Zea mays: one gene and its partner. Each later gene encodes a partner of the first gene's protein in a complex. Links are inferred from orthologs where the notes say so. Each region holds a gene or a part of one and is shown in the gene's direction. Other genes may lie near its edges.

The links. Proteins that work in one complex are often made in the same cells at the same time.
Region 2: the proteins of Protein ACCUMULATION AND REPLICATION OF CHLOROPLASTS 6, chloroplastic-like (region 1) and Plastid division protein PDV2-like are in contact, whole or in part, in a crystal structure (PDB 5GTB), measured with the Arabidopsis thaliana proteins. The link is inferred for Zea mays from reciprocal best matches to the Arabidopsis thaliana genes ARC6 and PDV2. Residues at the interface, in NP_199063.1 of Arabidopsis thaliana: Trp686, Gln687, Lys690, Phe694, Arg710, Met711, Ile714, Trp715, Arg718, Glu721, Thr722, Leu725, Leu727, Tyr729, Tyr731, Glu753, Leu756, Glu758, Ala760, Leu762, Asp764, Val766, His767, Asn770, Ala772, Thr773, Asp774, Arg776, Tyr778, Thr780; in NP_028242.1 of Arabidopsis thaliana: Glu287, Arg288, Val289, Glu290, Ile291, Pro292, Phe293, Asp294, Ala298, Lys299, Arg300, Asp301, Val302, Thr303, Tyr304, Gly305, Tyr306, Gly307.

The regions. Positions count from the first base shown.
Region 1 is NC_050099.1:246,973,484-246,980,535, reverse strand, and holds the end of Protein ACCUMULATION AND REPLICATION OF CHLOROPLASTS 6, chloroplastic-like, read left to right. Parts: intron 1-386; coding exon 387-617; intron 618-730; coding exon 731-955; intron 956-1,556; coding exon 1,557-1,817; intron 1,818-1,925; coding exon 1,926-2,790; intron 2,791-3,032; coding exon 3,033-3,166; intron 3,167-4,402; coding exon 4,403-4,696; 3' UTR 4,697-4,983; downstream 4,984-7,052. Other genes in the region: uncharacterized protein LOC100283844, read left to right, coding at 6,291-6,303, 6,985-7,052. UniProt on the Arabidopsis thaliana protein: Component of the plastid division machinery consisting in a binary fission accomplished by the simultaneous constriction of the FtsZ ring on the stromal side of the inner envelope membrane, and the ARC5 ring on the cytosolic side of the outer envelope membrane.
Region 2 is NC_050102.1:3,025,562-3,033,649, reverse strand, and holds Plastid division protein PDV2-like, read left to right. Parts: upstream 1-3,350; 5' UTR 3,351-3,444; coding exon 3,445-3,699; intron 3,700-6,046; coding exon 6,047-6,760; 3' UTR 6,761-7,068; downstream 7,069-8,088. Other genes in the region: uncharacterized protein LOC100382699, read left to right, coding at 597-696, 781-846, 935-1,024, 1,178-1,333, 2,015-2,353. UniProt on the Arabidopsis thaliana protein: Component of the plastid division machinery consisting in a binary fission accomplished by the simultaneous constriction of the FtsZ ring on the stromal side of the inner envelope membrane, and the ARC5/DRP5B ring on the cytosolic side of the outer envelope membrane.

The DNA.
Region 1 (7,052 bases):
TGTTTTACGATTAGCCCTATATTTAAAATAGAGCCACATTTAGAGCCTCTTTTTGAGATGCTCTTATGAACTATCTAGCTGGATATGACACCAGGTTCAGTAAGTTCCATATTAGATTTCTTGCTAGGCTTTGGAGCACACGAGTCTCATGAAAAAATGCATTTGTCACTGCTTTCCACCATGTCTGATGGACTAATACCAGTGTTACTAGTTATTTGGGTTTCAAAAAATCCATCGTATCTGGCAACCTACATCGCACCTTATTTAATACGGAATAGACGATCTTCTGTAGAGAGTTGCACTCCAATGGCTGGGATAAGCATAATAACCTGCAATCTTGCATGCTTGATTTTGCGAAGTGATCTGATGGGTGTCTATATGCTCAGATTCTTGGTGCGGAGCCACATTTCCTAGGCGATGGCATTCGGAGGGCGTTCGAGTCGCGGATAGCTAAGCCACCTCAGTATGGGTACAGCACAGAAGCTCTTGTTGGGCGACGGCAAATGCTGCAGATTGCCCATGATACTCTCACAAACCAGAGCTCGCGCACCGAGTACGACCGTGCGCTTTCCGAGGACCGTGATGCGGCACTCACCATGGATGTTGCCTGGGATAAGGTGAGGTTATGGGACAGCAAACGTGCGAACAATGCTATCTGTTTCTTGTAGAATCTGTAAATAGCGCTGGCGTGTAACTTGTTGCTGCCTCTCTCCGGAAACTTGCCAAGCAGGTTCCAGGTGTGCTGTGTGTGCTTCAGGAGGCTGGGGAGGCACAACTGGTGTTAGCAACTGGAGAGCACTTGCTTCAGGACCGTCCACCTAAGCGGTTCAAGCAGGATGTGGTGCTAGCAATGGCATTGGCTTATGTGGACATATCAAGGGATGCTATGGCAGCAAGCCCTCCAGATGTAATCTGCTGTTGTGAGGTGCTTGAGAGGGCACTGAAGCTCCTGCAGGTGAACTAACTTGCTTTAAGGTTGCAGATCCAATATGTCTTAAGGTGGCTGTGTACATACAGTTGTTTTAATCTTAATGTGACATGTTCACTGTTAGGGCGAAATATGTGTGCAGTACATACCATATTTTGTAGATGAACATGCTCCAGGTTTTATATAATTGTTTGCTGTTGATACCGATTACCACTTGTTTTCTTTGGTAAACAAAATCACTTTGGGTAAGCATTAGTTCAATAGTACTTCTCACTGCACTTTAGATCTCAGTAGGCCTTGCATCAGTATCAGTTATAAAAAGCCTGAAACCATTGGCTACATCATGGCACAGCCATTAATACTGTTTCACTGTAAAACCAATCTGGTATGAAACTATTAGGAACTGCTGTATAGAGATAATGAAATGCTCTAGTTTTTTCTCTTTCTCCTCTTATTCTTAAAATTATCATCCCATTATTGCAAGCTGCTAGCACAAAAAATGTCTGCTGCATTTTTAGCTGTCAGTTTATTTTCACTTGTTATTAGATCAGCGTGTGAAGGTTTTGTAGGTTCTGTCTTGATTAGAGATATCTTGGTAAGCACTACTAATGGAAACATTTTACTTTAGGAGGATGGTGCAAGCAATCTTGCACCTGAACTGCTTGCACAGATTGATGAAACTTTGGAGGAGATTACACCTCGTTGTGTATTGGAGCTTCTTGCTCTTCCTACTGATGAAAAACATAAAAATAAACGCCAAGAAGGTCTGCAAGGTGCAAAAAACATATTGTGGAGTGTTGGCAGGGGTGGTATTGCTACTGTTGGAGGAGGATTTTCTCGTGAGGCCTTCATGAATGAGGCTTTCTTGCAGATGACATCAGCTGAGCAGGTTTGTGTCTACCAAGTTTAATGAGCAACATACTGTAGTGTGTAGTCTGTCCATTTTACTTGAACACAGTTTTTAGAAGTCTTCACTCATTTTCTGTTTATATCTCAGATGGATTTCTTCTCTAAAACACCGAATAGCATACCACCTGAATGGTTTGAGATCTATAGTGTCGCACTTGCCCACATTGCTCAAGCAATTGCAAGTAAAAGGCCACAATTCATCATGATGGCAGATGAACTCTTCGAACAACTTCAGAAGTTCAATATAGGTTCTCAATATCCTTATGAAAACGAGATGGACCTCGCATTAGAAAGGGCACTCTGCTCGTTACTTGTGGGGGATATTTGCAATTGCAGAATGTGGCTTGGAATTGATAATGAGTCCTCGTCATATAGGGACCCCAAAAATATCGAGTTTGTGGTGAATAACTCTAGCATGAACGAAGAGAATGATCTTCTTCCAGGGCTGTGCAAGCTCTTGGAGACATGGCTTGTCTCCGAGGTATTCCCAAGGAGCAGAGATACCCGAGGGACGCAGTTCAGACTGGGAGACTATTACGACGACCCAAAAGTTCTAAGCTACTTAGAAAGGATGGAAGGCGGTGGTGCTTCCCATTTAGCTGCAGCTGCCGCTATAGCAAAACTTGGTGCTCAAGCTACTGCTGCGCTTGGTACTGTAAAATCAAGTGCTCTTCAAGCTTTCAGTAAGGTTTTCCCATTGACAGAACAGCTAGACATGTCAGGCAAGGATATCCCAAGTGATGATCTTGATAAATCTCTTGAAAAACTCGCCCAAGGAAGTGTTGCTGGAGACGCTATCCATGATTCCAGAAATGACGCCTTGAAGATTATCTCTGCTGGTACACTGCTTGCACTATTTGCAGTGTTAGGTCTCAAGTGCTTGCCTCGTAACAAGTCACTTCCTGCTCTTAGGGGCGAGTATGGGTCTGTGGCGGTTGTTGACTCCATTGATGGTGAGTAAACCTGTATCAGATAGCATTACTTTCTCCAAAGTCACTGGGTTTTGCTTGATGCTCCTGACAAAGCCGCGTAGCAAATATTCCACATAAATTGTGTCCAGGGCCATAACACTTCCTATTTCTATATGTAATGCACATCATAGAAGTGCACACATAAAATGCTCATAGAAGCCGTATTATTTGTTAAACGTGCGTCTGGCCAGGGAAATTAATCCTTCCATCTTTGTTTGTTGAAGGTCCAGCGGCAGATGAAGAGCCACTGGAAATCCCTAGGATGGACGCGAAGTTGGCTGAAGACATTGTTCGCAGGTGGCAAAGCATCAAGTCCAAGGCTTTGGGGCCAGAACACACTGTCACGGCATTGCAAGAGGTGAGGTCCCAAAATTTCCATCTTTATAGCTGGCTAGCGCTTTTGTTGGTTTGTCCCAAACAATCCCCAACACACACATGTTGCTGGAGAGTTGAGAGGCACTTTGGCTGTGCGGTCTTTGAAAACTCGACCTGCGGGGGTAAGACAGCCCCCGAGCATTGTATTAAGAAAAAGACCTTCTCACACAGGTCGAGAAAACCCCCGAACCCCTGCCCCACCCATACACAGCGGCATCGAAGCCCATGTGAGAACGACCACGACCGGGGCTGAGCCTTAGACCTGTGCTTTGGCGTGGGACAGACGAGAAGATTTTTTTAACCACAGCCTGAAATTCGCTCCCACGGGGAGTCGAACCCAGGACCTGAGGAGTGCTACTCAAACCACCTAACCAACTCAGCCGCCAATGTTGGGGACTTGTCCTTAAATGCTATGAATTAAGAAAAAGGCAACACAAAAATTGTTAAACGTTAAAGTCCTTCGTCCTTCGAAGCATTATTTCTGTTGGGATATAATGAGTTTCAGACGAAGGTTATGAAGGACGTACCTTCATCAGCACAACAAATAATGAAGAAGGATTCATATAAAATATAAGAAATAACATAAACACTTAAATATTATTATTAACTCATTTCTATTTTATTATTATGGAAAAATAGAAATAATAACAAATTACAAATGTACCTTCGGCTTGAAAGAATGTAAAAGTACAAGCGTGATGCAAAAGCCAATGCCAAGTCAGCGTGAACAGTACGGGAGCATTGTTCATCTATTTATAGGCACGAGACGCAGCCCATGTAAAATTACACTTATGCCCTTTACACTTGCTAATAACTCTATAGTAATCCATCGGGGTCTAAATAGTCTTTTCTCCTTTAAGTCGGTTTCATTTTCTGCTATCACGCCGAAGCTCCCCTGCGCATAGCTTCGGCTCTGCGCCATCCTTCGTATTCTTTGTGCTTCTTCACACTGTGGTTTTGACGTAAGTCCGAAGGTACCTGTTCATGTATCATACTCCAGAAACATTGTTAAATCATGTTTTTGAGGACCTTCGGAAGGCGAAGGCCCCCAACAAATCCACGCAGTTACATTCAAGAAGAATTTTAGCCATTCGAGATTGACGCAGCAACCACTCGTTCAAATAGTGGAGTGGTGGCTTCTTATTGAACCCCTGTCCTTGTATGACTAAAATCCAGTGCCACTGTACAATGACGTCGTTTCCAATTCATTCTCCGGCAGGTCCTCGGCGGCAACATGCTGAAGGTGTGGGCGGACCGAGCTGCAGAGATCGAGCGCCACGGCTGGTTCTGGGAGTACGCGCTCTCTGGCGTGACGATCGACAGCATCACCGTCTCCGTGGACGGCCGGCGGGCAGCGGTGGAGGCGACGATCGAGGAGGTGGGCCGGCTTACCGACGTGACCGACCCTAAGAACGACGACGCGTACGACACCAAGTACACCGCCCGGTACGAGATGACCTACTCCAGGCCAGCAGGGTGGAGGATCACCGAAGGCGCAGTCCTCAGGTCGTAGGTAGAACGGCTGTGCTTGTGCAGCTGCAGCAGGAGTAGGCGAGTAGCGGTAAGCTCGATTCCCATTCTTTTCTTTTCTTTTGGCAGCGTGTGTAAATAAACAGTGTGAGCACTGGCTCGTTCCAGTACTAGAAAGCTTGGTTAGGTTGCTGAGTGATGAGCTCCTGAGGTCGAAATTTGTCATGTAGTTTTTATTGATAGATAATTTGGTGTTACTATTGCTGGGTCAGATCCTCTGAAACGATTGATCTTAATGAAGGCGGCAGTGCATCACTGCTTACCACATCACTACGTCAGACAAGGTCACTGCTTAGACTCTATCCGGCAGGTCTTTAAAGCGCCATCTACTCTAAATTTTAGAGAAGATTTCTCTTTTTTTTTTGTCTCCAGCAACATCTTCTAAACAGTTCTCTAAATATAGAGAACATTGTTGCATCATCTCTATATAGAGTTTTTCTCTCTTCTATTCGTTCTAATATTTGAAACAATAGATTTAACAAAACTATAATACATTTAATTAAAAAAACAAAATAAAATATATTTTTAATATAGATATTTACGTATAAAGAATGAGATATAGAGAACATTGTTGTTTGGAGAGGTAAGAGATATAGAGGAAAATGGTAAAGGCCTTCACGAATGAGGTAGGAGACTAAAACACTATTTTATGTTTAATTTTCTAGCTTTTTTTCATGTTGAGAAGCGGCTCAAGCCCCAACAAACAAGATCTAAATGTGAAGTCTGTAATACTTTTTTGTTTATTCTACTGTTATCTTTAGGCCCGTTTGGTTCATTTATTTTAGAGACTAAAGTTTAGTTAGTAGACTAAAGTTTAGTCTCTATCCTATTTAGTTCTAGAGACTAAAACTATTCAAATCACATTAAATGAATTATAAGAGGACTAAAATACCCCATAGTATTCTCATGCAATTAGTGCAACTGAAATAAAATGAGAGATAAAAAGTAGAATTTATATGGTTTAATCACTTTTAGTCACCTAGTCACCCCTTAAGGGAATAGAGACTAAAACAGTTTAGTTCCTATTTTAATCATATCATTTAGCAATTTAGTGACTAAATGAGACTAAAATTGACCCTCAAACCGGGGCCTTATTCGTAGCTGAAACTGCATTCCGAGCAGCACGCTTTGGCCCAAAAAAAAAGAAAAATGTACTCGGAGTCAATAGTTGCCCAAATTGTTTCGATCGCCCATTTCGACATCGTATCGGATTTTTTCAAAATAATGGGGAAAATAGCGAAGGGAAAAAAAAACCCTCCGTGTGGCCGTCCCAAACTCCCAATGAGATGAAGAGAACGCACCACACGACCGCGTGACAGAGGCACAGAGCAAAAGCCAAACTGGCAGCCAGCACAGCAGAGCGCCACTCGACTCGACTCATCCTTTCGGTTCCCCTCCCCCCTCCGCGTTCCACAACCCTCGAGAAGCTTCCACCCTCCCCTCCTGCGACGCCGCCAGAGCCGCGGAAACCCTACCCACCCCGGCCGCTCACGCACCGGGCGCCCGCCGCCGCCGGTCGCGTACCTGCCGCCGACACCGCCCAAAGCGATTGGATCTAGAGATCGTCAGTAGCCACGATGGAGGACTGGGGTGAGCGCCTCTCTCTCTTCCCTCGCCTCTGCCGATCTGTGCGCCGGTGTTCCACCGTCACGACTAGTTCGTGTTCCGACGCGCGGTCCGTCATGGTTCCCGTCCCTGTCCCACGGCGGTTTCCGAATCTAGAGTAGGGAGTTCGCGGACCCTAGGCACGCTCGATGTTGTAGGATTTTGATTCGAGGTCATTTGTTTGTGAGCTGTGGTGATATCCGTTCCGTTATAGGGACATGGTCAAGGGTTTTGGAAATATGGATATATCTAGTCATATGCGTCTCCTGTATATATATACATGTCGAATTTAGAATGTCAACTAAGAATAGTGAGATCCATTAACACTTTAACAGTGATTTTGGCATCTGTACCTGCTAGTTACTTGAAGCTACCTTCATCTCTGATTGGATTAACATGATATTAAAAAAAGTTACCCCCATATAGGCTCCTGACTGCTGTGTTAGGCGTCTTTTCATGCCCGCTTAATTTCCCAGTGTCCCTACACCTATTTCAACCTTGCTATTAGAGGAGGCGAGTATACAGCGACAGGCTCCTCAGGGTTCCTCTTGTGCAATTATCTTAGTTTATATTGAATTTAGGTTTCAAGTTCTGGTGTTGGTTTCTTATGGCACCTTCATATGCTCTGTTTCTGTGTTATGGAAACTAATCTATACTGCATTTCAGATTCTGAAGAATTCCAGCCAGTTGTGCCTGTTGTGAAAGCCGAGCCACTTAAAAATCAGTGGGCTGAT
Region 2 (8,088 bases), on another chromosome or scaffold:
CAAAATTTGAATTTTAAATTTGACATACTTAGATTCAATTTTTGAGAACTGAAATGAGTTCAAATAAAAAAGTTGTCAACTACAAAGTTTCATAACTTTTAGAGATCTACAACTTTTATTTTGGTGGTTTTGTCATACGAGGCCGTTTGAAAAACTCGAAAAATTAAGGATAAAAATGATTTCTAGTGGCGGTTTCTTAAGAAAACCGCCACTAGAAATACGATTTCTAGTGGCGGTTCCTTAAGAAAACCGCCACTACAAATCATGGATTTCTACTGGCGGTTTTCTTAAGGAACCGCCAGTAGAAATACGATTTCTAGTGGCGGTTTTCTTAAGGAACCGCCACTAGAAATAACACAGTCGGTGGATAACCGAAACCGCCTGTAAAAATATATCGTCCCCGCAGGCTTTGAGCCTTTTTGTACTAGTTACCATACCATCGGTTGTTCTTGTTCGTCGCATCGCATGCTGCTGCAGTGCTCAGAGCTTCAGGCCAGTGGTGGCATGGCAAGGCATGCATGGCGTGTAGTGCATGTGCATGACGACGACATTCATGGACCATCGGTGCATGTGCGATGCGGTTCTTTTTCTTTCAGGCTGATTCTCTACCGGCTGGAGACGGTGGATCTGAGGCGGATGACGGGCGGGGAGAAGCTCGCGTTCTGGATCAACGTCCACAACGCGCTGGTCATGCATGTAACGTTCTCGACCTTCATTTTCATCTATGGAGCTCGACCGTTTCTGCAACTGAATGATGCTGATGATCGATCCACCACGTAGGCGTACCTCAAGTATGGAGTCCCGCAGCAGAACCAGCTGAAGACGACGACATCACTGCTTGTCAAGGTAAAGCCGAACCACGTACAGTTCCTCCTGATGAGTCATGAACAGCAGCTGGCCGGCAACAATGGCTGACACAGGTACTCCCGTGCAGGCGGAGTGCAAGATCGCGGGGCGCGCCATCAACGCGGCGGCCATCCAGGGGCTGGTTCTCGGGTGCACGGCGCACTGCTCCTCCGGGCATGTAAGTGCCCTCCTCCATCCACCACCATCGCATGCATCCTCCACACCATCATTGGGGGTCAAAGAACGTGCGTGTGCGCAGCGAGGAGCACGAAAATGCGTTGCTATGCTAACCCGTCGCTTTTGTTGGTCGGTGCATCGATCGCGCGCGCAGTGGCTGCGGGCTTTGCTGCGCTACCCGAGGACGACGACGAAGGCGAGCCGGCGGGCGAGCAGAGCCGGGGGCGAGGAGTGGCGAGCCTTCGCCGTCCGCCAGCCGGAGCCCCTTCTGCGTTTTGCGCTCTGCTCCGGGAGCCACTCCGATCCCGCGGTGAGAAAACCAACCAACCAGCACGCCCCTACCCCTTTCGGCGATCCTGTCTCTCTTTTCTTCTTCTTCTTCTTCTTTTTTGGGTGCAAGTGCAATGCAAACACGCAAAAGCTCCGCGTGTCTACGTTTTTATACGCAAAGAGATTAAAGTGGGCACAGATGGCTGACAGAACATAAAGCCTTGAAACCATGGCTGGGCAGTGTTGTTGGTTCCTAGGAACTCTCTCAGACATGATTGAGCTCGATCACCTAGTCTAGTGCATGCATGGAGATGGAGTAGTCATGTCCAGATGTTTCTGAAAGTGGTAGAAGCTGCTGCATGACGCACTGGAAACCAGTCGCCTGTCGCATGGATTGGACGGATGGATCGATGGATGTACGTACGAACACAATGATGATGAAAGGAGCTTTTGCAAAGCACCTATACTTTTGTATCCTTGGTATATGTCTGTTACGTATACCACGCTGTTGGTCATCGATCCAATCCAAGCACTCGACGGACGGCGCATCATGATCATTATATACTGTCTGTTGTTCAGTTCAGAGTCGATCAGTCCGCCCGCCAGTCGTCGCCGGCGGCGCGGCGGATCCAGCCCGCACTGTCTCGATCGACAGCAGGAATGAAGGATGCTCATTGCTCATGCCTGCGCTGCTGTGTGTGTGTGTCCGTGTGGCGTGCAGGTACGGGTGTACTTCCCGAAGCGGCTGGCGCAGCAGCTGGAGGCGGCGCGGGAGGAGTACGTCCGGGCCACGGCGGGGGTGCGGAAGGACGACCGCCGGGTGCTGCTGCCCAGGCTGCTGGACGCCTACGCCCGGGACGCCGGCCTCACCGCGGACCGCCTCCTCGACGCCGTGCAGCGGTGCCTCCCGGAGACGCTGCGGACGGCGGTGCAGCGATGCCGCCGCCGCGGAGACGGGCCCGGTGCCGCGAAGGCAGTCGTCGAGTGGGTGCCCCACCGGCGGAGCTTCCGGTACCTGTTGGCCAGGGACCTCGCCTTCCCGCACCTCAGCCTCAGCTAGCTATAAGCTGCACGTACGTCGTGAAGATGATTCCTCGTACGGTGACTAGTTGAAAGATTGGTAGTTGTGGTGGGGTGTGGATGACTTGATAGATTTTGGTTCTAGATTAATGATAATGATGATGATTGCACATGGTCCATTAGGCACGGGCATTCTTCATCTTAATTTGCGTGTGTGTGTGCTGTAAACAGATGACACATCGAGCTTAGCTTGTAGATATAGCAACAAATGAAAGAGATAAACTAAGTTTGTATTATTGCATTGTACACCACAAAAGTAATTTCACGAGATGATCAAATGGCTGGAGCAAGGAATCAAGGAATGAAACTCTAACAAGCATACCCTAACCACATTTTCCTCAAAAGAAAACACACATAAGATCATCTGCAACAGTACCTTAAATCAATAATATGTCTTAAAATATACGACTCAACTCTACAAAATACTTCAACAATACCTGATTTTATATCTTTATACAAAAAATTATTACAGGGTAGACAATTGCATGTCCCAAATATACTATAACCCGGATTAGTTACCTGTTCGTGTTTTCTATATTGTCTTTGACCTTTTTTTCTAATAATACAATTTATTTTCTAAAATATATGATTTAGGATTTTGTTTTGTAGTCCTAAACACTTTAAATAATATAGTATTTTAATTCTTTAGTACTATTTTGAGGCATCTTGTTAGAGCTCTAACTAGCTTACTACAAAGACATTATTAAAAGACAGGCACTAAGCTACTCAGGCAGCATTGAGCCACCGTGCAAAAGAAAAAAAAGTCAGTCAGCCAGCCCAATTTCTCTTACAATAGTTAACAGGCCCAAGCCCATAGAACGCGGGTGCACACAGCAAACGCTGGCGGTGGGCCCCACCGGCAGCGGATACGCCTCGGCCTCGGCCTCGGCCCTCGACGTCTCCACAGCCACGAACACGGCACTAGCTGGCCGCGTGCACCCCGCGACGAAGCCGGCGTTGGCCACCCACCACCACAGCGCACGCGTCGCTGTCGCGCGCCTGGGGTTTTCCTAGGGTTTTGTTTTTACCAACCCCAGCCGGGGGAGCGCGGAGGTGGCGGCGGCGGCGGAGATGGACGGGGAGGAGATTGGCCTGGTCCTCGCCCGCGCCTCGGACCTCCGCACCAGGATATCGGCCTGCGCCGCTGCCGCGGCGGGGGCGCCGGGTCCGCGGCGGGACGATGAGGAGGCAGCGAAGCGGTTGGACGCGGCGGAGGGCGATGAGGAGGGAGCCGAGGAAGAGGAGGATGAGGAGGAGGAGGTGGAGAGCCTTGTCGGCATCAGCGACGCGCTCGAGTCGCTCGAGCGGCAGCTCGCCGCCCTTCAGGTCTGTGGATTGTCTAACCACCCAGTCCTTGCTTTCACGGATTTTTTTATAGTAGCTCGTGGTCGATCTGTTGGTGCCTTTTCTGCTTGGATTTGGAAACTAATATATTTTGATCATGAATTAATGCTACCGAAACAGGGCATAGTGATAAGAGCATACTAAATGCAGGTGCAGGGCATTAGTGGACTAACCGTGTGCTGGCTCATAGGATGTTTCAGTTTGCTCCAGTTCATGAGTCTGTTTTTTAGGCATGTAAATTGCCTGCCATTACTAGTAGCAGATAGGAGTTGGCATGCAGTTATCTAAACATTTCCATTGCTAGCTGTATCGAGCTGTGAAATTTGCTCCAATTTGAGTTGATCATGAGCATGCATTTTTTTTTCTGAGGGAAATTGCCTGCCGTGCCTACCACTGGTAGGCAGGGTTCACCAAATCGGTGGGGCTTCAAAAACCGACCAGGACCGATTAGCGATTAATCGTGATTTATCGGCATAAACCGGTAAAAACCGGCCAAATCCAAATTCAAACCATTTATTGAATCCGCTCGATTTGACATCGATTTATTGGCTGATATGACCAATTAATCGGTTCCAGAACTGATAAACCGACAGCACATCAGGTAAAACATAATCTCTTGTTTTTGCAAATAAAAACATGTTTAGGTCTCAACAATTGAACAAAAAAATGCCCCAAATGTTATCACAAGTCCAATAACAACATTTACCCGTGGTAATTTAAAAAGATTTCAAGTGAAAAGAGAAAAAAAATCCCCCTAACCCTAGCTCCTGTTCGACCGCCGACTAATCAGTCCCACACATCGATTTATCGGTTTTGGTGAGCGGTTAATCAACAATCTTAACCGATTAGCCGGTTGGGCCTTCGTTCCATCCAGCCCATATAGCAGTTTTTTTTTTCCGAAACTTTGATTATTTTTAGTTTGAAATCCATTGCGTATTTTGAAATTTGGTTTCAGCAGAAAGTATTCAAATAGTTATCAAAAGTTCAATAACAACATTTAATTAGTGGTCCAAATGCATTACATGACACGGCATGGTTCAAATATATTACATGTCTCACTTTTATAGTTCACACATAACATTGAAGATACAATAAACCTTCCGCCTCTAACACACACACGCACGCACGCGGCACGCACGCACACGCACGCACGCTGCACGCACACAGACACACACACACACACATCGTAGCAAGCTTTCATATCAAGTTTTGTTACATCTAGGTTGAGGGGCAGTTAGGTTGATGACAATGGCTTTAAGAACCATTTTTTTGTTAGATCTTAGTATTACTGTTTAATATTTTTTATAACTATGACTATCTAGTGAGGACAAAAGCTTTTTCTTCAAATCATTATAGGGCGCCCGAATGGCACCTAATGTTCTAGTTATCTATTATTACAAGTATTTTATCCCATATTGCATGTAGCATTGGTAATTTGAAAAGATTTCTAGTGAAAAGTAGAACCCCCCCCCCAAACCCTAGCCCCTACTCGGCTGCCGGCTAATCAGTCATACACATCGATTTATCATCTTTGGGGAGCGGCTAATCAGTAATCCTAGCCAATATATCGGGTTTTCTTTTTTTTTCTTTTCCCGAAAACTTCCATGATTTTTAGTTTGAAATCCGTTGTGTATTTTGAAATTTGGTTTCAGAAGAAAGTATTCAAATATTCCATAGTATTTATACAAAAAATGGCATCAAAAGTTTTCAAAATATATAAATTCTACCAAATTCAAAAGCCAAAACTGGTGTGTTGGCATTACCGCCCGGTGCCGATTACCGGTTAGCCGGCCTGCTAGCCAGATTAATCAACCGGTTTGGTGACCCTTGCTGATAGGGGATTGTTGTCACTTGGCGACTAAATCTATCGTTTATTACTTGCATTAAAGATTTAGGCATTCAGGGATGTTCTGCCCAGTCTTTTGCGAGTAATTGGATCCATTGAGCTCCTGTCGTTCACAAATACTGGTTCGATTTTTTTCTTAACGATGATAACATTCTTGCCAGAAATTTGGGCATGATGTGCAGAAAGGGGCATAAACATTGTAACGCGGGCTTTCATTGCTAGTGTTGCTTGTTAGTCAATTGTTTATATGAGATTTATAACACATCACATTTATTTTGCTATGTTATGTTATGTTTATCGCACCGACAGTGGGTTTCTTTTGGTGACCTCACACCGGTGAGCTACTTACTGGCTGTGGTAGTTGAGGGTGTGTTGTTTCCTGTTACTGTTAATGATTGCGTGGATTATTGATTCAATGCTTGTGTTGAGACTGTTTCAAAATCATCATCTACCTGCTAACACCTTAACAAACGCCGCTGCCAGGATCTCCAGCACCAACAAAGATACGAACGGGAAACCATCTTGAGCCAGATCGACCGAAGCCGGAGGTCCCTGCTTGCCAAGCTCAGAGAGTACAAAGGGCAGGACTGCGAGGTGATCCACGAGGCTGCCGCCTTCGCTGGCGAGAGAATAGAGCGCGACGACAGCCTCGTCCTGCCTCCTTACTCGGACCATGTCACCAACTCGTTCGCGCTCGACGACCTGTACCCTCTGAGCTACATGTCCAAGCCCAAGCGCCTGCACACTCAACCAGACTCCGAGGACGACGGGACTGCGCAGGACGACGCGAGAAGGAACGGGCGTGAGAGCAGAGATACCAGGGCCTCGAAACGCGGCTCGGGAGGCGGAGGGGGAGGAGGAGGAGGAGGAGGCATCGGAGCCTTCATGGGATGGGTGGCTAAAACGGCGGTCATGGTGGTGGGCGCCGTCTGTGTCATGAAGGCCGCTGGATACGAGTCCGTGACGTGGAGGAACGGCGGCGCCAGGCTGGACATTGCGGGTCTGTTCGGTGGCGGTGGTGGTAAGCAGGCGGTGGCGGCGGGCGGCGGAGATGAGCGGCGCGCTCCTCTGCGGTGCCCTCCCGGCAAAGCGATGGTGGTCGAGAACGGCAGGGCGCGTTGTGTCGTGAAGGAAAGGGTGGAGGTGCCGTTCGACGCCGTCCTGGCACCGCCGAGTTCGAGGTACGGTTTAGGCTGAAGCCCACTCTCCCCCGCTGCGCCCGCGCCTGTGTGTGTGAATAGTAGTAGTAGGGTGTAGCTCTATCTATGTGGTGCGGGAGTTGCTTAGTAGCTGCTGGGGAACGGTTCTTTGTAGAACGTGTTGCTGGGAGCTTTGTTTGTTAATTCTGCGTTTGGTGCTGAGCATTGGGCAGCCTGGAGATGTTGAGGCTATGTATCATGGAGAAGAATAAACCCTTGTGCTCTCACACTGGCGTTGTGGTGAGCAGTGAGCTCTTCTATTATCCGGCATGTCTGGCACTATATGAGCCAATCACTGTACCATTGAAAATTCCCCCGTGTTGTTTACTCTGCTTCTGCTGGGCCCATGGTTAGTAGTAGTACTCGGCATTCAGGTCCAGGCTGGGTCTCAAGTCCTAGGTATGCGAACCACGAGGTAGAGCAGCAGTAGGCTGGCCGTGCCCGTGCCCGTGCCCTGATTCGATTTGCCTTCCTTGTCCAGCAGTATTCAGCGCCAGCGTTGTACTGGCAGTGATGAATGGTGATAGATAGAAGAAGATGACCATAGCCGAGCCGCGTCCGGGCAGGATGCTGCGCCGTCCGTTCGCCGCGCCGCATCCTACTACTCTTGACTTTCTGATGAGTACTACTACTAGTAGTAGTTCGTAAACATGTAGCTCGGCCGCCAATCGCAACGCATGGTCTCTTGCAGCTTGCACACTTTTGCGGCAGCAGCACACACAGGTGAAAGGCCATCCCTATTCCCATCCAGTTGACATGCTTGACTCGAGACCCGTGCCACCGTAGCACAGCAACAGCAAAGCGCAACGATACGGTTGGCGCACACGGCGAACAGAGGCCTCTTTGCGCTCTTGTTCTTTCCAGCTAGCGGTGGCGCACGCGCATGCGTGTGCAGATGAAGTAGCGCGCGGTGTCTGCTCGCCGCGCCGCGCTCTACATACACTAGTACAGCTGTAGCATCGGCATCGGCATCTGTCCGCCGCCTGCATTGCCATTGCGTGGCATGCATGGACGGCGATGGAGTTGGCTAGGGACTCGTGCCACCACCAACGCCTGCCCGACTTCACTACTTGGCGGTCCGGGGTCTAGAGCGAGCAGCTGCGGTGCCTATATACTTGTGCTGTCCGTCCGTGTGCCTCCGCCGCGTCCACCGTTCGCGTGCACGCACGTGTGACTGATTACCGGGGCCAGGTGGGTGTAGACCAAAAGCGAGAGCCCACGAATGCCTTTTTTTCCCATGTTGGGCTTGCCTTTTGAAACTACAATATATCTATGACGGCAGGTGCAAAACATTAGTATTTTACAATATATACTATATTATTTATA